2 linked regions of the Caenorhabditis elegans genome follow. The protein of the gene in region 2 interacts with the protein of the main gene of each other region in a pairwise test. Each region holds a gene or a part of one and is shown on either strand. Other genes may lie near its edges. The genes, in order: cyd-1 and R11F4.2.

Evidence for each region.
Region 1: the proteins of R11F4.2 (region 2) and cyd-1 interact in a two-hybrid assay, tested with the Caenorhabditis elegans proteins (one large-scale study listed by BioGRID).

What each region holds. Positions count from the first base shown.
Region 1 is NC_003280.10:12,982,059-12,993,783, reverse strand, and holds cyd-1 (G1/S-specific cyclin-D), read right to left. Parts: upstream 5,562-11,725; coding exon 5,448-5,561; intron 5,154-5,447; coding exon 4,824-5,153; intron 4,712-4,823; coding exon 4,450-4,711; intron 4,319-4,449; exon of another isoform or gene 4,135-4,318; intron 1,794-4,134; coding exon 1,657-1,793; intron 1,605-1,656; coding exon 1,230-1,604; 3' UTR 667-1,229; downstream 1-666. UniProt on the Caenorhabditis elegans protein: In association with cdk-4, regulates the progression through the G1 phase of the cell cycle during postembryonic development. Regulates proliferation of the coelomocyte lineage and intestinal cells during late embryogenesis.
Region 2 is NC_003280.10:4,078,629-4,088,786, forward strand, and holds R11F4.2 (G-protein coupled receptors family 1 profile domain-containing protein), read left to right. Parts: upstream 1-4,425; 5' UTR 4,426-4,464; coding exon 4,465-4,575; intron 4,576-5,023; coding exon 5,024-5,484; intron 5,485-6,044; coding exon 6,045-6,303; intron 6,304-6,356; coding exon 6,357-6,443; intron 6,444-6,647; coding exon 6,648-6,733; coding exon of another isoform or gene 6,734-6,737; exon of another isoform or gene 6,738-6,760; intron 6,761-7,305; coding exon 7,306-7,513; 3' UTR 7,514-7,669; downstream 7,670-10,158.

The sequences.
Region 1 (11,725 bases), 8.9 Mb from region 2:
TTTTACAACTTTTGAAAAATTTGAAAATCTATAACAGATTGGCAATTTTTAATTGTAGGTGTTCTGGCTTGTAAGAAAAACTTTCTCCAGGCTGTCCCATCACGTTTTGATCTACAAAAATGCGGGAATTTTTAACCCAGAAAAATGTGACGTCATCACGCTCTTAGCCATGCAAATCCAGTTCAGAAGTCTACGTCTAAATTCCCGCAATTACGTAGATCAAACCGACATGGGACACACTGACGCCACGTGTTTCTCCAGTTCTAGACAAGTTCCAGATGAAAACTAAGCGGTTTTCCGATTTTCAAGCACAATTTGGAGATTTTAGATAACTTTGCTTTTTGTCTATTATTACAGAAATTGCCGATTTGCTGGAAAAAATTCAATTTCGTCACAAGAAACAAATTTTTTTGCACTGTTTTATAAAAAAAGGGGCCCGTCCACCTGCTTCACATATCTCTGATCTTCTACTAGCGCAAGCTCAACGTCATCAACAGATGCTAATAATGTATGTTGCGCTTATGGTCAAGATTTGAATAAGTGCTCGCTTCACGAGCTTGCAGTTTGACGCAACTCTAGAAGTGGGGGTCTGTGTGACGTCACAACCTCGAAGGGTCAAACAACGTCATATGGTGATTCCGGGTAAATAGTGAAATATATGTTTGGTGGTTGTGGGGAATCTTTATTATTTCACAAATAGAAAAAAGTAATCATCGAAACAGCGAGAATTTTTGTACAATACAAGTAATTTCAATGGTCATCAGAATTGGGTGTAGGAAGCGAATTGAGCAAGAGGGATCTGGAAAAAAGATGAAAGAAGCAAGTGGGAATTCTAGTATAGAAATGATTAATTTTTGGGAGGAGGCTTGGGCAGGATTTGACTAATCACAAACGAAGTCGTGGATGTGACAAGAACCAGGAAGCAGTTGGAATTTCATAGGAAAATCCAACAAAAGGTTCGAGCACATCCGAACTCTCGGAGAGGGGGAGGGAGGTGGAAATAACTTAGAATAAATGTTTTAATATATATATATATTATTTTTTTCAGAATAATAAGAATAATAAACTGGAAGATTTGTTGGGAACACCGGTTTAAAAATTAAAGTTTAGGAAATAATGCAAAAGCTACATAGAAAATGGAAGACTGGATGTGTTTTGAGATTTTTTGGGATTTGGTTTCGAATCGACATAGAAGCTAAACAATGCATAAAATAATGGGTAACAAATGTTCATAAAGTCTTGAAGATCTTCGGCGGCGTCGAGTCCTCCTCAAACCAGTCTGTGCTCCGACGACGCTTCTTCTCTGAGGATGCGGGGCTGGAGACATCAGACGAGAAGCCCGAGTCGTTGAGGGGAGTTGATGGAGTTTGCTCGGAGAGGGGGATCGGCTCGAGGAGCACAAGCTTCTGGAAGGCAGGTTCCTCTGGTGGTGGAGTTGGGAGGGGTTCTTCCTTGAGCTCCTTGAGCTCTTGGAAGGCCTCTGGCTCTTGAGTGGAGGCCGGCGCGGATGGTGTCGGTTCCGTCTTCTCAGCATCTTCTGATGTGTAGATTGGCGTTGTGCTCATGCAACGCTGCACCATCGGGATGTACGAGTCGAGAAGGTTCTGGAAAAGGTTTAGATAAGAAATTATAAGTGCTGATTTTTTTTTCACTAACCACTTCCAACTGGAACATGTTTGCCAAGAGATCCTTGATCTTTACTGCCAGCTCCTTATTCTGTGTTGGGAGATTCGATACGTAGTAGAGGCCAATTGCACATTGCATGGATGGGAATAAGGTGGCAAGTTTGTGCACTGAAAAACCAATATTCATATTATTGATTTTATCATTAAAATTCCAAAATTCCAAAATTTAAGTTCAATCTTTTCTCCCCCCTTGGCCCATTCATCACTGTTCCCTCTGCCAATCATTCGCTCGCTCGCGCCTCAAGGTTTCGATTTCAATCATTAAGAAAAATCGAAGAGGGTGGCTGTGGAGGACATAGATGATTATCTACGAACAAGTCTCTAAGTGTCTGGGCGTCTGAAACATCAGTGGAACTCTCTCTGCCTCAAAGTGCGCGTTTTCACACCTTCATACATATCTTCCAGGGGTCTGACGCGCCAAAAATTTTGAAATTGAAACGGGCTGGCTGCCGAGAGAGAGAGAGAGGTAAAACGCTTATCTTGTGCTAACATAAACTTTGCCTACTGTAGAGGAAGGTCGTCGTGCTATTTTCATGTAATTTCACACTCCTTTTTCAAAACCGACTCTCCAAACCGCTTGTGACATCACACGTTCTTCACAATGCCTTGCGTCAAAAAAATCACCAGAAGCCCATTCAAACATGCGCAATTAGGCTATGCTCCTTTTAAGCCTCGAGCACCTGTTGACAGTATGTGTAGGATCGCGCGGTCATGTTGCATAATTGAATAGACCGCCCGAAATGACAGCTGGTAGACGATGATGATGATGGTGATGATGTAAAGATATTTGAAAATCTGGGAAGCATCTCATCCTCCTCAATGAGGATGGCACACGCTTCCGTAATCCCAATAAAAAAGTAATCGACCGCGAATGAATTTATATATCGGTCAAACGGATGTCCAACGATTGATGACTCCTTCTTCAGCTGCTCCTTTTCAAATTCCACTACGGGGGCACTGTCAATCAATTAGGCCTTGGCTGATGAAACATTCATTATTATACGATGATCTCCATTCAAATTTCAAATTCAAATGTCATCAGTTGCCCCAGAGAGATGACCCTTCCCATACTGTCATAACATTAATGTAGATGATATACATCCCTTGTCATCGGTGGTGTCTTGGAAGAGCAGATTGCGACATAACTTTTCTTTGTGTGTGAGGGCCGCGCAACAACAGGCACAACATCACGGGGGCTCGTCATCGTAAATCAAGAAGCGCAGATTTCACTCCTTTTCACCCCCATACATACATACCTACAAACACACACACACGGTATTCTTTCATAATCTAGCCCAAATCTTCCAAATGTATAAATCAACGGGTAGGCACGCGCCAGGTGGACACAACTTTCCTAATCCGTTTGGATAACTGAACATCCATTAAGGCAGAAGGATATGGGGGGGGGGGGGGGGGGGGCAAACACTGCGAGATGATCGATCAGAGCATTCCATCACGCTATCAAGTTGCCAAAGGCGATGCCGATCGGAAGTTTTGTTCAAATAAACATTGGGCAATAGGTACAAGGGCATTTTGAAAAAGGTATTGCCTACTGTAGAGCCTATTCTTTGAAGTCACTTCAACCGCCGGGATTAAAGCGACATGTGTTTAAGGGGAGTCGCCTTCTAATTGTTTCGGGTGTCAAGTGATCCGCAACAGTTAAACGGTTTCCCTAAGAGCCCACTAATTTCACCCCCCAAGCCATGCCGCCCGGGAGATAGCTATCTATAATTGAACCCGGGCCACCTGGGCTGTCATGTCACTATTTACAGCCATATTCTTCTAATTCAGATATTCACCCAGATGTTCTTAAGAGTAATTGCAAAATTGTACTACCCCACACACACACACGCGCACACACACAGTCATTTTTTAGCGTCTCAGTGTGTCACCACAGAGGAGGACGGCTTGAGAACAAAGAGGACGCACAAAATTTTGTGTACCTGGTACTGACTCACTTACTTTTTGGTATCTTATATCTGTAGTTGGGGGGTGGGAAGCCTTAACAAAGGCGCTAAAACCTAGGTCAGCGCGTGTCAAATGACCAATGAGCCGTACGCAAAAACTAACAACTAACAACTTTTGGACTGTTTGCATAGGCTAATTCCGAAATTTTCCTCAATTCAATTCGGTCTAAGATGAACTTTTTTCGATAGGTAGGACACTTTCCCTTGGGGAGATAGGACTTAAGCTCATTAGACAAAGACTGGCCCACTAGCCCACCTGCTGTGCTGGAAAGAAGAAACTTGTTTGTTTGATTTGGCTTAGGTGGAGGTGGATTAGGCTAAATTAGGCTGGTAATGATGAATCAATATGGAAAGTGCAAAAAAAACAGGCTTCTTCCTTCTTTTCTAGAAGCTATTTTTCTCCCCTCATCCCGGCCAAAAATATCCTAGTAAATCTCATTTTTCTTGTCCCTTCCACCACATTATGTAAATGCAACGGTGTCGCTCGCCCGACCCTACCGCACAGTCCTACGACCACCCATCAAAAAAACTTGTCTCTGTTTCCTTTTTTCGCCCCGGGAACCCTGTATGGGTGGCCCACCGCCGGCAATAAGTACAAAAGAATGGGGGACACGCGACGCACACACACACAACATCATCCAAAAAACGACTTCGATTTTATAGAGATTAGACGGGAGAAAGAACACCCTTCCGATTGAAAAATGACACGCGCCAGGGCACCAGGGGGGGGGGGGGGGAGTGAAAGGAACAAAAAAAAAACTACTGGACTAGGTGGAATGAAAGAAATGAAAACTCACTTTTTTGGCACTTCTGCACAACTGTCTGAAAGTCGCCCCTCATGTTGTGAATCTGTGGGATTCTTGAGGCGAGAAAGTCGAAGAAGGAGAACGCCGTCGGCGACTCGGTCTCCCATTGAAGTGTCGTCACAATGAGCAGCTCCCACTGAAGAATCATATCGATGGGGCAACTGTTATCCGAGTAGTAGGCGATCTTCGACGCGGTCATCGGATGTGGGGCCTTCAGTTTACTGGCGATAAACAGCGCGACTCCGGCGATCATCTGAACGGGTCTGATTTCATAAATGTTGATATGATGGGAGGAGAGGCAGGAGGATTAGTTTATGTACTTCTAACACTAGAGGTGAAATTCCAAACATACTCAATATACTCACCTGAATATCATGCTTCAAAATATTCTGCACCGACATAAACCTATCGATCAGCGAAACAGCCAACAAGAAGACGTCGCCATCACAATTCTCCTCCTTTGCCACGTCGTAAATCCAATCGATCGCCTGCTCTCGATGAAACGGCGTGATGTTCTCCTGAACGCCGGTGAAGTAGTGATAGTTGGGCTGTAGCGCCTCCTCGTACTCCATACAGTTATAGAAGGCTCGCATGTCGAGTTGAATATGAGGATCCGTACGGTTATAAATCAGTGTTCGGACATTATCGTTCAGAGCAGCCGATCGAGATGGGTGTAATTGACAGCTCACATTTGACTGGAAAATTGAAAATTGTATTTTAAAATTGTACTTTAAAATTTAAAATTGAAAATCAATAATTATGTACATACATGTTGAATAGATGAAGTGGTCGAGATTTTCGAAAAGAAGATTCTTATCTTTTTTCACTTGGAGGAAAATTAGAAATTAAGCGTGAGGGAGAGAAAAAGAGTGGGCGACGAAAAAGGTGTCAAAATTTTGCCGAAAAAAATCTACCAAAAAAAAATAGAGAAGGACAAGTCTCCTACTGCGACACACACACAACTTAAACACCAGAAAAAAAAATGTTACCTCGGTAATAGATGTTTCCGACAAAACTGCTGAAACTTGAGGAAGCATCGATAATGTGCATGGCTCCTCTGCGTAAGATGTGCTCGGACCAGCCGACGACGACTCAAAGTCCATCTGGAAATGGAACTTCAGGAATTTATTATTAATGCTTATTATTAAATCTCAAAAAGTTAGTGAATTTGAGAAAATTGTCAAGTGGAGAGAGAAAGCAAGAAAAAAAAGTAAGTCAAGGTACGGCACCTTGACTCGCAATGACAGTCGAGTGACCGGAGGCGGGTGACTGCCAGGGACTCCGCCCAGTTTTTGCGCACCCTCTCCCCCACCTCCCCCCAGGGCCAGCCGTCTCCCCCAGGCACATGAAGGAATGAAGGTGATGATGATGAAGACGGGGGGTTTTGGGATTTTTGAGAATGAAGAAAAATACTTCTGCGCTGATGTTGCTGACTGAACGACGACGAGCTGGCAGATGACCCAAAGACAGCGGGATACTGGGTCAGCAGTCGGCAAATTGCAATATTGGGAAGAGGTTGGCGGGGGTCATAAGGTGTTAAAATATTGATTGGTGCACAGTTATGGACCACGAAAAAAAAACAAACTGCGGATCGATAATTACGTCCTTGACAAAGAAAGGTGTCAAAATCACTACACTCTTCCGGTTTGGCAAAGTTCCAAGGTTAACGGGAGACACGGAGGGTACTAGCAGCTTTTCCTGTCTAGACAGGTAAAGGGTGTCAATAAGGCAAAAAAAAATAAAAACGTTCAGAATGATTAACATTTTTGGGTAATATGTTTAAAAAAAAAGTGTTAAAACTAATTGAAATTTAAAAATCAATAAAATTTTGATAGTTATCTAAATAGGCTTCTAACTTTCCAAAAATCAACAAAAATCAAATTTTGAAAAACAGAGAAAATTACGCATCTTCTAGCCTTTCCAAGTATACAGCAGAAACTTCAAGTTTTGTGATATGCTCTAAAATCACCTAAAATACTTTGAGCATTTTGGATTTTTTCTTATGATGCTCTTTTACTAGAAAAGTATTTAGAAATGACGTTAGTTATCGTCAGTGTTAAAATACCCTTTATAATTTTTTTACAGTTAAAAAGTGGGTTTTCACAGTTTTTTGACAGGCTTTAATTTTTTGTATTCATATATTATAGGGATGAAAACTTGTAGAAATGCTCGAAATTACTGAAAAAGTCCATATATATTTGGTTTTTTTTTGCCAAAATTTAGACTGAAAATTTTGAAAAATCTTAAAATAAATCCAGACTGTTTTATCATATATTAGGTAGTTTTAGACTACCAAAACTATATTAAGGGCCAAATCTCCTTTAAAGTGTCCAAAAATCTATGTGAAATTCGGGCCTTTTCTAAACATCTACGCTACACCTGAAAGCGCCTATTAATGTTAATATATAGGATTTTTTCTTACGGGGGCTCTTTTACTGGAAAAATAATAAGAAATTATGTTATTTATTGTCAAGGCTAAAATGTCTTTTGTAATTTTTTTTACAGTCAAAAAGTGATTTTTTGACCTACTATAATTTTGAAGTTCGTCTTGGACTGAAATTTTTGACATTTTCTAAACATCTACGCTACCCTTCAAATTCAAAAATTTGTCTCCCATGGCAGCATATATATATATTTTTTTGTATCTTTATTTCTCCCCCACCACCTTTAAAAAGTTCATCCAAACACTAAACCACACACACGACATTTGGCCTATTGTTTTGGGAGCCACCCATTGAACACAGTGGTGGGTTCCCAAACTCATAAATTGTACCGGACAAGCAACAAATCAGACGGAGCAGGGAACGGGGAGAGGTGGATATGGAAGGTTAACACTCAAGTAATCTTAGAAAAGTAGAAAAAGTGAAAGTTGAGAAAATTATGGTAGTAAAAGAGATTGGGATGCGCCATCCCACACGTACTACCAGGTGTTCGGCCAGCTGCCCATATCTGGCTGACCTTCTTCTTCTTCTTCCAAACATCTTCTTATATTTCATTTGACTCCCCTAACATTCCCACAGGCAAATAAGGGACTATCATAGCAGGGCTCAGCTATCAGTTTTCGCGCACCATCTCCCCCTCTAATGCGACACTAATCTGATGATGGACAAGTGAAAAGTGTGACCTTTCCAGTCGTATATTTGAACAAGAGAGTGTGAAAGATCTGATTGAGATAGGTGTGTGTAGTTGTTGAATGGGGCAATTGGCGTGCTCTGATGACGTAGAGCGGGAGAACTCACATTGCGTAAGAAGAGGTCAATTCCAGTAGGACAAATAGAAAACAACGGGAGGGTGGTAGAAACGATTTGGCGGATCTACAGGCCACCCACGAGCCGACAGCAGGTCGAGCAACAGGTGCTCAAGATGACGTAGGTGAATTGAGTATATACATATATATCTAGATATGTATGCAACAATATCCATATTACAATATGTGTGTGTACTATTGCGTAGTTGGGGGCATGTTGAAATTATGAGCATTGCGTGATAGGATAATTATTTAAGAGTTATTATCTGATATTTGGGTTGCGGTAATTATGAAAAAGGTGAACGGGGAAGTTTGAATATCAAAATAATTTTGGTTTGCATGGGATTCTTCTAGCAAAAATCAATGTTTTATGGATAGGTAGGCCCATATTTTTGCCAGATATACAGGCAAGGTAGACGTAAGTTTCGACCCAAAACAAGTATAGGCATAAAGAAGGCGTAGGCACAAGGCAGGCATATCAAAGAAGACGTAGGTACAAGTGCAAGGCAAGAAACTGTTTTTCTGCCTAAAATAAAATTTTTGGAAAAATTTGAACTCGCATAACAAACCGTTGCAAACCAAAAAATTGAAAAGATAGCTAGAAAAATATGTAATAGTAAAATAGACACATTAAATATCGATTTCCACTAAAATTTTTCCACCACTTTTTGATCTACCGGAGTCCTTCATTTTTGAGTAGATCAAACTTTTTCAACTTGAAAGAACAAAGGATTTAGTGTCAGAGTGTCCCATTTCGGTTTGATCTACGTAGATCTAGAAAAAAAATGAGAGAGTTGAGACGCATTCTCAACAGATTTTGCATCGTCACATTTTTTGGACATAAAATTCCCGCATTTTTTTTCAATCAAACTGTAAGAAAGTCGAATTTCAAATTCTATTGAATTTCAAAACTTCAAAACTTCCAAACTAAAAACTATAAAATTTGCGGCCAGGTCAAAAAGCTCTTAAGCCAACTGTTACCAGTCAATTTTTGGACCGGAAAGTACTGTTTGATCTCCTTTAAAATCTCTCCGAAAACATCTGTCTCTCCATTATTCGGCTTCTTGAGCTCATTATGGCACCCACTTTTGGACTCAACAATGTGCCAAACCAACTGTCATTCTTCTGTAGGGGAATTCAAACGTCTCCTCCTCTCATTAATATTATCTGCCTGTGCGCATCGTTCCTACTATGCGGGAATCGTGCCCCAACTGCTGACAGATGGCTTTTCCTTTTTGTGTGGTGATTGTGTTTCGACACGGCAAATAATTAGATAAAAAAGAAGCGATGCCTTTTAGAAAAAAAACCGAAAAAAATTCAGAGACAAAGAATCGTTCGCGCATTGGGAGGTCGGACCCCCCCTCTCATGCACTTTTTCCATGTAAATTACGCAACATTTGTCACCCGAATCTGGGGATCGCGTGTGGCCTCTTGTGTTGTTCGACCTCCGTGATTGAATTGGAAGAAACAAAATCACATTTACCTACGCGTATGACTGAAATGATGAACGGAGGTGATGATGATGGAAGGTCGTTCGGTTTTCGGCGCCCCTCGGAGATGATGATTTGTCGTGCCAGGTAGAATTAAATTCAGGTTTAAATAATGATGCTCTAGACTTTTTGAAACTTTTTTTTTTGAAATTGTTTGAGGGGATCTTGTTGTCGCGCCACTCGCCTTGCGGTGGAGTACCGAAATCTAAAACTTTGCTTTTTAGACCCAAAATGAGCCAAAACTGCCGAATTTTGTTATGAGACGTTTTGTTAATTTCTCAAAAAAAGTGATGGCGGGCTCATTTTCAGCTAAAATCAAAAATTTTGCCACAATTTTGCCTGAAATGATGCCTGATGCCTGAAATTAAAAAAAAAAAACTTCAGAAAGCGTTTACTTTTGGAGTTTGTATTGAAATCTAGAATCTCTTATATAATTTTATTTCAAGAAGAATGTATTCCAAAAATTTAATCCCTATTAACTTTCAACTAACAGATTTCCATTTGTTAGTTCAAAATAGCCTACCTGCCTAGAAGGTGGCCTGTAGGCTTACGAAAATTGCAATTGTAAACCAGGCCTAGGTCTCCTCCAATATGAGTTAGACCTGCAGGTAGGCGTTTGATTTTTCTAAGGTGTTCAAGTTTCCAAATTTTCAGAAATGTTGCCTAATTCGTTGTTTTTTAAAAATAAAGCCAGGAGATCTTTTCACCAGTATTTCTTTAAATTTCAAGATCTAGTTTTCAATTTGTTGTGTATTGTTTTTCAATTTTCAATTCAAAAAAACCTACGTGTCTACAAGGCTTACAAGGCCCGTAGGCCTTTGAAAAAAATTATCAATGGTAAAATAGGCCTAGGCATCCTCCAATATAGGTTAGACCGCAGTCAGGCGGGTAGGCATGTTTGTGCCTGCGCTGAACCCCAGCTTTCATACTTCTAAAATGTTCAAGTTTCTAACCTTTCTGAATTTTTGCCCAATTAGTTTTCAATATAGTCCGGAAACTTTGAAATTTGAAAAATATTCAAAGTTTTTGAAATCGAATTCTTAAAGTTACGGTATCAACTATTTACCTGAAAATTGATCTAATTTCCAAAATATTTAATTATTTAGCTATTCAGGACTATGGTCTTTATCGGAAATGGTGCTCCTGTCATCTCAATGTCATCTCAATAAGCTGCTCAATTGGTTCGTGCCAGGCAAATTCAAATCCCATTCCACAGCTCGATGAGATCAGGCCTGCACTTTTAGCCAGTTCATACATACCAGTCAGTCGGCTAAAAAAGTGCACAAAAGGGAACGTTATCACCGGTAATGTTTGCCGTCTTCTCCTCTGTTCTTCGTCGTTTTTTTCAACTTTTATATGAGTGATGTCAGAATAGGTGAGAAAAAGTGAAAAAAAGCCAGAGAAGTTTTTTGTTCCAAAAAGGGCAAACTTTCTCGTGTCAACCTTGTGCCGGTACCGACTGGGGTACTGAAAAAACACGTCACTGGGGTCGACCGCCGAGTTCAAAGAGAATACGAGGAGACCACGAGGTGGTTGATGATGATAATCGAGGCTTTGAAATTATGATTGAATGGAAATTGATAAGGATCACTAGTGATAAGGGAAATAGTGGGGGGGGGGGGGGTGGGGGTGAACGGAAGCATTTGGAGATGGAGCGTGTTGGAGCAACTAGAAATTCCACCCTCCGAGGCGTAACTCGGGCCCTTGTGGAAATCCTGGTACCAACTAAACCACACGTAGATCTACAAAAAATGCGGGAGAAGAGACGCAGAGTTCTTAACTGATTTTGCATGGTTAAGAACGTTCTGACGTCACTTTTTTTTGGGCAAAAAATTCGCGCATTTTTTGTAGATCAAACCGTTATGGGGCAGCCTGGCACCACGCGTAGTCTTACAGTATTCCCATCACGGTGCATGATTGGGAGAGTTGCCGTAGACAAATGAGACTTTGCAAAAACAGGTTTTTGTCGGCTGCTCTTTTTTTTCAACGTTATCAAGGTATCATGGACAGTTTTTCAGAAATTTGAATAGTTTTTTGTTCAATAAATGTACAGTTATTTATTCTCACGACCTTTCCCCACTTTCCCACAAATTTTTTCTCCTGCCTCCGCACTCAAACAATCGTAAGATTGCATTGGTCAACTCTCTCAATCACAATCTCAACACAATTCTTATCAGTTTACAAACCGATAGGTCAAGCTGGGCGCCCTTGTGACATTTTGGGCTCCAAAATGGCACAATAAACATACCATAATTGTATAGCGTGCAAATATGTATAGAGGATTGTTTTTTGAAAACAAAGAAAAAAGTGTAGAAAACTATGGGGAAATCCTTGGCAATTAGTGTGTCCGGTGATTGACACCTCGAGACTAGATACTCACCGATTTTCAAGATTCCAATCTTTTTTGCTGTGAGGAGTTGACTGTGTGAGGACATACACATACAGTGATGGTGATGGTTATCTCTGGAAATGATGAACATGTTTATCTTTTGCAATGGTAATTAGTTGAGAGACGTCTGTAGGCGCCAGC
Region 2 (10,158 bases):
CCAAGAAACATTAACATAATTTTATCAATTTTTGATCAGAAATATGTTTTGTGAAATTCCCAGAAAATCATTCCAAAAAAATCACTAGATTCTTGATCTCCAAACACATAGGTATTCCCATGTTCCCACAAATTGAGTCACAATCTTGTTTTCCCATAAGTCGGATAAGTCGTAAATATTAAGATATATAAAAAACCAATATCCCGGATCAGAAATTAGTTTTTCCTGTCCTGGCAAGCTTTGATTTTTGACAACACCAGGTAAGATATGAAATTTTCAAAACATATCTGTTCAACCTCAGCCCTCTAAATCCAATCGAATTAGCTGTGGAACAAAATCTTGGAAGAATTGTTTTCAATTTTATCCGCTCCCATTTGTCTTAGTTACAAAGAGGAAGCCGCTTTGCTCTAAGAGGTTTTTTTTTGTGATCTCAGCAAGCACTGGGAGAGCCAAGTTTACATTTTCCGTCATAATAGACATCAATCACAAACTCAAGATTTGTTATTTGTAGAAATGCTTGTTTTAAGCAATCTTCGGAAAAGTTTTCAAAATAAAAATATAAAATAGTTTTGCAAAATGTTGATTTCCATCAGTATCTCTAATCATTTTTGTATGTGAGTAAAAATTATTACTATGCGGAGAGGTACTGTAGGGATACTGTAGGAGCACAATTTGATGTTTTGTGTTGTGAACTCAAAAACCTCAAACATTTTCTATATTCCTTGCCGATCCATAAATCCTTGTTTTATTTTTCTTGCAACTTTCAAAATTCTTCAAATTTTTACAACTTTTTCTTTCATTTTTCCAAAACTCCAAACCCGGTTGCTCGGCTACTAAAAGTAAGAAACTTTTTCTTGAGAGCCAAAAAGTTCTGCTTTTTTTCCCACAAACGTTAATATTCGTGATATCGTGAGAAATGGTGGTTTGGGGGTTGCGGCTTCGTTACAAAACGTATTCTCGATCCTAGCCAGATGACGTTTTGATATTCTTTTAGAGCATTTTCTGGAGCTTCACGGTAAATTTTTTATTGCGAAATTTCAGAATGTTCCGGAACTAAAGAAATGTGTATACCCTGAAAGATAGAAAATTTTCCATCTAACAGTTATTCCTTTAACCCCTCGTCACTTTCTCGAAATATTCTACCCTATGAAGACAAACACCATATGTCATAAACAAATGTCTGGCCAACTCTGTCATCAATAATTCACCTATTTTTGGCCATAAAATTGGTGAATTTAGTTGTTTAATCTCGCGTTTTGAGGTGGACAGCTCAAAAGTACTTGTTGTTTCAAAACTAGTGCAATTTTTAAAATTGGCTGGAACAGGCACACGCACCACACACGCACCGCACGGTAAATTTTTAAAAATTATCGATTTTATTAATTGGAAGACCGAGACCTTGAATACTTTTCCTGTAAATTTGAATTGAAATAAGGTCTATTTTTATATCTAATTTCATGGATTATTTCTCTCCTCTTTTTCTATTTGAAAATAGAAGACAGGACAATAGAGAAGCCAATGTGCACTTCTTTTTTTGGGGTCAGGTCTAAATTTTGTTATGTCTAGACCCCCCACTCCCGAAAAAGCCAAAAAGAAAACGGGAAAATTGATAATTTGTGACACAAAGAGCTATTTTACGGGGCGGAGAGGTCATCCTACTTCCCTTGACGGGAGAGTTATGCACACATTTTACAAGGAAGTTAGATGAAGAAGTGCGAGAGGAGTACACTGATGGATTCCCTTGATTCTCACTAATAATTTACATATTAAGTTTGAGGAAGATGACGGTGACCCCTGATTTGATGTCATTTCATCAGACACATAGCTCAATTCTGCGTTGCCAAAGGTCAGACAGGAACGAAAATACTTGCCTGACCAATGCCTACCTACGTCTAAATCACAAATTACCACTTTTCACGTCTTAATTGGCTTTAAGTAAAAAAGTAAATTTTGGCTGTAGGCAGGCGCGTAGGCTTGTAGTCAACCTATTGTCAATTCAAGTTTCTTACTTCCAGTTCCTTCAAACTTGAAAACAATCTTTAATTTTGTTGTTCCTTTTTATTTTTCAATTTCCTGTTCAGTTTTCTTATTTTCCTGTGTTTTTCAATTTTTCATTTTTCCAAATTAAAAATAAGATCATGTTCAAAAACCTTTCTGATTTTGAATGTAAACTTTTACTTCTCAAAACTTCCTTATTCCTTTTCGGAAAGTAGGTAGGTAGGTATGTAAAAACAAAGCGATAGATAGACTGGGTAGGTAGGCACAAAGGTAGGCAGGTATAAAAGTAGGCATAGATTTTGGTAGGCAAGTACATAGGCAGTTATCTAGGTAGGCAGTAGTGTAGGTAAGCATGGTTTTCGGTAGGTAGGTACGTAGGCTGACTGATATAAAGGTGGGCAATGGTGCAACTTAGCAGGGATGTAGGCAAAAATGTAGGTAGGCAGAGCTGAAAATAGGAAAAATCACGTTAGAATTCAAAAAATAAGCGGTAGGCAGGCACGTAGGCAGGTACCTAGAAAGTAATTCATTTCAAAGATCATAGATATTTAAACTACATTTACGATCTAAAACATCTGTGAAAATCCACGTGTTGCGTAGAGCCTGAAAAGGAAAAGGTTTTCAGCCGTTTGTAGATCACTGGCACTGATCACCCGCCAATTTTGACGTCCCCCCCCCCCCCCTGCCACGTCACCTCCTCTCTACTTTTTCGACGTGTGTGTGCTCGGCGAGCTCTCGCCTTTCATCTTCATCTGATTCAATTCCTCCATTCTATTCTGCAAAGGAGAAGATGCCTCGGCGGCGGAGCCAACCCCAACTCATCCGTGAGCTCCGCCCCAAAAAAAGAGCAGGCAGTGCTCTCCAACACACATGAATATATGAAACATTTCATCTCATTTCGAATTCTTTGGATCTGCTCTTTCTTCTGTTGTTGTGTCTGTGTGTGTATGTGTATGTCATTGTTGGGTCCTTGTATGTCTTCAAATTCCGAACAAATTTTTGTTTGAAAACCCGCAATTTCCCTGTCTGGCGGTGTGCTATTTATTCACTCAGTGTTTTTTGTTCGAATTTCCAGCCAATTTTCAATTTCAAAAGCGCCAAATTTTCGGGAAAACCTGAAAATAATTACCTTGCAAATATCCCCACACCCCCACCGACACCCACCCACTTTATTTTGAAAAACATGTTCTGAGATTTTTTGAAAAGTTGAGAAAAACACGACAATTTTCATTTCCAACTTCCTTGCTCTTTGCTACGAGGTGTTTGATTTTTTCTCAAAATGCTTACGATGAGGCTTTGGCTTAGGCTTAGACTTAGGTTTAGACTGAGGCTTAAACTTAGGCTGAGACTGAGGTTTAGGCTTAGGCTTAGGCTGAGGCTTGGATTTAAGTTTGGGCTTAGGCTTATGCTTAGGCTCAGGCTCAGGCTTAGGCTTAGACTTAGACTTAGTCTTAGGCTTAGGCTTAGGCTTAAGCTTAGGCATAGGCTTAGGCTTAGACATAGGCGTAGACTTAAGCTTAGGCTTAGGCTTTGGCTTAGGTTTAGGCTAGGCTTATGCTCACAGGGTTTAGCCTGCAGGGACTTTAAAAACGAATATTAATAAACCTACATTGAAGTTTTCAAAAAGGAGCAAAACAATTCTGTTGCCGAATTGCCGAGTGTTCCGGCTTTTTGGATAGTAATATTCTATGCGTCATCCGGTTTCCCCCAGATTTCTGAGCTTTTCATTCTATTCTTTTAAGAGCGGTTTTTCTCTCACGCCATCACCCAACAAAAAGAGCACCCACTCATCTATTGCAACTTTTCTTCCCCGATTTTGTTCCATTTTCTTACTTTTTTTGCTACGAAAAGCTCAACCCGGGTGGTCCTTTTTGACCTACCTACCAATTTCAAAGGAAATCAAATTGATGTTTGATTCTAGGAAAAGAGATGTCTCTATCTATCTCTTATCCTTTTTTCTCATTTTTTTCTCTATGCAAATTTTAATGGAAACTACTTAGGATGTGGACGGACCTAAAATTGATTAGAATTGGCTTCACTGGGTGCATAACCCCTCAATTTTGAGCTGTAAAAAAGTTATTTTGAAAGAAAAAAATGTTATAATTTTTTTGATCGGTGTTTTACAAATGAAATTGCAGCTTTTTGCAAAAAATAAAAATTTAAAATTTATTCTTTTCAAGTAGATATACCGATGTTTTAAATATGAAAAACAAGGGAAGACGCAGACAGCGAGAGCGTCTGTATCTCTGACCTCTGCCCTCTCCCTCTCCCTTTCTCTTACTCCCTCATTTTCAAATTAACGAAACTCATAGTCAGCGAATATTTGAGCAAGTTGAAAATTTCCAACTGCAAAACTGTTAAAAATTCGATTTTCTATCTATCTTGTAATTAATCTCATCTCTATTGACAGCCCTTAACTCAAAAATTCAAGTTTTCAGCAAAATGAACATCACAGAAACAGCAGCAATGAGCGAGGCGTGTATGGTGGAGAGCCTGGATCGACGATGGTACCTGGTAGCAGTTTGTGGAACATCATTATCGGTTTTATCAATTGTTTCAAATATGTTGATATCAAAAGTGAGTGTTTTTCATAGTTTTGATTTTAATTGGAAAATGCTTAATTCAGCTTAATTTGACGAAAATTTTTGTCTTTTAAAATTGATTTTATTTTCGAAAAACTTAAAATTTTGCTTTTCCACTAAAAAAAGTGTGGTCTTTTAAAAATAATTTCATTCAAGATTTGTCGGAAAAAAGACATAAGAAAACGTATTAGAAATATTCAAAAATTCTTTTAAAAAAAGTTGAAAAATTGAGAGAGTTTAAAACAACTTTGAGAGTTATAAACAAAATTGCCAAAAACCCATGTTCTTCACACGAAATTTCAAATGTTTTGGGTAAATCGTATGGCGACCAATGAACGATGAGGTAGGGGAGGGGCCAGCGCCTGTGATTGGTCCAATTGTTAGCCTGACCAATCAGCAAGGCGATCGGGTCTGCAATAAGAAAACATCTTTTTAATTTCCAGGTCCTACTATCCTCGAAGCACACGCACTTCTACTTCCTAGCCCTACTCGCCTTATCCGACTGCTTCTTATCTCTAAACTACGGTCCCGTGATAGCAATGGACATAATCAAAGATCGTGTGAAACTGCGTTGGCTCTCAAATCTTTATATTCAATACGTGGGACCCTTACTTGCTCTCTCACAAACCTCAATGACTTTCTCATGCTACCTGATCATCCTGGCGACCATCGAGCGATATCTGATCACACTACGCGCAAAATGCCTCGGCACATTTCGACAATGCCGGGGACTCTCTGCACTTTGTATGTTCATTTTGGCTCTGTTGCTCAGGGCGCCCATCATTTTCGAAATGCAAATAGAACAGAATCCCGATTGTATTGGCGAGATTAGCGAGTACTATTTGAACTTGTCGCCGATTGTGAACACGTTTTGGTATGGAACTGTGTACCGGTTTTATGTCAGGTAGGTGCAGGGATTTGTTGAAAAATTGGAGAAATTACAGAGAGAAATGAACTGAAAATTTTTGAAATTAAAAAAAAATTGTTTGTCCGATATTTTTGAATCTAAAATTTATTTTAAACTAAAATTATCAACAAAAAATAGAAAAAAAAATATAATTTCAATTTTTTAATTGCATATTTGACCTAATTTTGAATAATTAGACTTAAAAAAGTACTTGAAATTTCAAAAGGAATTTATCGAAATTTCAGAAAATGGAAAACTCTGGAACATTTTTTTTATAACAAAGTATTGTTTTTAACCAAAAGTTTTTCAAAACTAGGTCGCCTACCTACTTGCCTGCCTACCGCCTATTTTTCTGTACTTTTGGCAATAGGCATGAGTGTAGGCACAAGGCAGATGTATAAACCATGAAATCAGACCTACAACTTGCTGAAAATAAAAAAATTTAAAGTTTTCCGTATCCTTTTTCTGCTCAATTTTGTCTCTATTCAAGCATCAAAAAAGTTATATTAAAACAATTATTTAAAAAAATAAAATACCAAGCCAAAAAAATCTTTCAGAAACATCATGACAGTCCTGGTACCCTTCGTTCTGCTGGCCATTCTTAATTACAAAGTCGTGAAAATTCTTCGAATGCAGCAGAGATCGGCGCAAATGTTCCGTTTTCTATCAAGTGATCATAAGACGAAAATCCGATCGGCAACAATTTTGATGGTATGTATCGTTTTCTCGTATCTTCTCGCGAATATTCTAAACGTCGGTGTCACACTGTGGGAGTACGTGGCATTTCAATCAACACAAACCGGAGACGCTTATGCGGTATGTTGAAAAGTTGCAAACAGCAAACTACAAACTACAATTCCCAATTTCAGTTCTACGAAACTTGCACCGATGTGACGTCAGTACTCTACATTCTGGTGTGTGCCACGCGTCTTTTTGTATATTATTTGTTCAATCAGGTAGGTTTTTTTTTTTTTAATTTTATCTGAAAAATTCTTTAAAAAATGCCTGATTTCTTGGATTCCCGCCAAAATTTTCTGATTTTTTTCCGAGTTTTAGAAATTCCAATTTCATAAATTTCACAGCAAAAATTATGCATCTAAACTTCTCTCAGAACCTTTTCCAATTCTCATAAAATTTAACAAAAAAACCAAAGATTCCAGGAAATCCGCGAAGCCATCAAACCTCTCGTCTGCCACAGCACGAGTGCTCCTCGCAAGCAGGACTATGTTACAGTAACCCGAAGCTTGTAAGTTTGTCTAAATCAATTTTTCGTAAGCAGAAATCTGAAACCTATCCATCACCCTGTCACTGAGTCCCGTTCTCTCTTTCAGACAATCCATGCCGTTGGCGGTAGTGGGCGCCCTAACATTCCTCGGTCCAAGACAGACCGGCATCGTGAGAAATCAGCAAAAGTAGGGGAAAATTAAAGTAGTTGAACTTCTGCTATCTATTTCGCATGTCTACTGTATCTCAAACTTCTATCTCCCAGACTCTCTTTGCTCTCCTCCTAATAACTTTCCGTCACAAGCTTACTTCTAGGCGCACACACTTTTACCAATCCAGTAAGATGTCGGCCGCAGCCCATTGACTGCAGCCGGCACTTCATGGGCCAGGCTGGCGTATGCAGGACCGGGTTGGCACGTGAGGTGTCCGCAGCAGATTGCAGCCGACATTTCACAGGCCAGCAAAGCTAGCGTTCGCCTAGCTAGCCAAGCTTACGAGGTGTCGGCTGCCGTCTCGTTTCCGCGGCCGACACTTTACGAGCCACCAGCTATCATCCTACCATTTTATCTTCCAGTTAACATATACTTCTTTCAGCGACTCCTCCCGCCAAATCGGAACCGAAATCGATGCTGTAGCAATTGCCATTGCTCGAAGGCTGCTCTCGAGTGAGCTCGTCTTCGGAGGTGGAGGCACCAAAGAGGCCAACGACTCATACGTCATCTCAAACCACCACGCGACCACATCTGGAGACGAGGAAACCGACGACGACGACGACGATGAAGAGATTCCATATATGGTTTGAGAAGAAGCGGCTCCATATATTTGCACATTCTCCTCACCCACCTCATTATTTTTTTCCTTTCTGGATTGTATACTTTACTTTTTCTTCTCCTCTCTCATCATACATATGACCAATATCACGGGGTAAAATAGCGAAAATAAATTGGTATGTTTATTCTGAATGGGGTTTTGCACAAAAACTATCAGATTCACATCTCATTAAAAACCGGATGCTCTTTCATGTCTTACTTGGTGAAAACTTCGGGAGACAGACACTGGGGGTTTCTTCAAAACCTGCTAAAATTAAAATTGAAGTTTTGATCTAGAAAAATTTGATCTACAAGTAAGGGGGGACCCTAATTTCAGCAAGCTTACTGCATTAGATTTTTCAAATTGAACAAGCCCGGTAGATGTCGGCCGCTGGAAAAATTAAAATTTTGTAAGACAGGAGCGCTTTCTTGTCAGTTCGGAGTGACCATCTGAGCTTTTTTCGAATTAACCAAAGCAGCTGATATATTGAAGATTTTAGTTCAAGCAGCCGAAACTTTAAAGGTGTGTACTATTCTCTGCAACCGACGTTTCACAAGCACTTCTTTCAACAAGCAACATTTTACAGGTACTGTGCTTAGCGGCCGAGGTTTCACAGGTAATTATCAAAACAGCTAAAATTGTAAGGCGCATGCGTCTCCATGCGTCTCTCCATTTACAGGCCCAATTTCGAGCAGCCGACATTTTACAGGCACTACTTTTACCAGCCGACATTTAACAGGACTTCAAATTTTTTTCTATTCAAATTTTGCATTTCAAATTTTCAAACTTCAAATTTTGCATTTTTCATCGATTTCAGGTGGTTTCAGAGCCTTACTTAAAACAAAAGTTCAACATTTTATTATGTTTAATAGTTTCACTGATTTCCACTAAAGCTCCCACAAAACTCCTTCTAACCAGGACTTTTCCACGTGTATTTTGCTGTTTTTGTTCATTGTTCACCGCTCGATTTCACGTGTGGACGGGCACAGTTCACGTGAAATGATGTCCCATTCTACCGTACTCTTTGTGATAATGGCTTATCATTTGTAGAAGCGGAATGTGAAGAAGACTGATGAATGATAGATTGAAACTTTCAAAAATCAAATTCGTAGGTTTTATGAATTTTTTTTGGGTTTTTTTTGTTCGACAAGAAAAAGGCAGACATTTTTTTGCAGAAAAAAGGGTGTAAAGTCTGAAAAAAAAGCGATCGATTCAAAAAGTGTTCAAAAATCATACAAAAATTGCTTTCGCTGCGGGATCCATTTTCGTTTAAAGACCCTTTTTGATAGGATCAATCCTTGATTTGACGTCTGTTCAATGATAACTTTGTGAATCCGAGGTCAGACCGATTCTCGCTTCGGGACCCTTTCTGATTCAAACGAATATCTCAAGATGTTCAAAAGATTTTCTTTATTTTCCTAAACATTTTGTGTTTTTCACAAGTCACGTCATTTCATTGACGTGGCTCCCCTCGAAGTTCAAATGCTCAACAAGAATCTTTTCTCAAAATCTTCCTCCAACAGCTGTACTCGAAGGGCCCCGTATCATTTATCACTTCCCCCCCCCCCCCCTTAACTCTCTTTCCCCTGTCTCGTATTCTTCAAAGATGATAAAGACAAAAAGTGAATCGTTCGATAAAGATAGAGAGTATTGAACACTTTCAAAAGTGTCATTAGTGACAATTGTTATTGCTTTACTCCAGTAGAATAACCTGTTGGAATCGGGAAAAATGCAAAGTTTTCAGGTACTTTTTAGACGAAAAAGTGCTGAGATTTGAGATGGGAAACAACAATTGGAAATAGGAGAAAATAGAGAAGATCAATTTTCAGCTACCAAAATATAAATGGTTTTTAAATTTTAAAGCAATTTCAACCAGGGGTGGGCGGCAAACGATTTTCATCGACAAATCGATAAATCAAAAAATTTTCGGAAATGGAAATTCCCGACAAATCGGAAAACCGGCAATTTGCTAATCGCTGAATTTGCCGGAAAACCGCAATTACCGAAAATTTACGGCAAATAACTTTTTTTTTTGGAAACTTCAGAATTTCAATTTTAATCGGCAAAATTCTATCCTAACGTTCCTAAATCTATTTTTAAAAATATTTAGAAAAAAAATGGGAAAAATTTCAAAAAGGCAGAGATTTAAAAATTTCCGTCTTTTAAAAAATCTTGCGGCCAATTGATGTTCGGCAAGCGGCAAATCGGCAAGCTGCCGAAAAACAACATTACCGGCAAATCGGCAATCCGGCAAACTTCACGGCAAACGTCTTGATTTCAACAACCTATAACTCAAAAACAAGACACTTTACAGGCAACCTTACAACTAATAAAATGTTGCCCAAAACGTATTCTTACTTTTTGTAATTGACAATTGTCCATTGTAGAAAATACTGAAATTCTACTTTTCTTGTCCTTCTTGGAATATTGATTCCACTGAACCATTTGAAGAAAACTGAAAACTCAACTTTTTTCTTTCAATTTCTCCAGTTTTCCTATCCCTCCCTTTCCATCTAAAAATAAAATTTCACGATAAAAGTTGATCGATGTGTAGCGTGGCAATTGGAAAAACTGACAAAAAAAAAAAAATTTCTAGGATAAAGTAGATCTAAAAAACAGTGAGACAGTTTTCAGAAA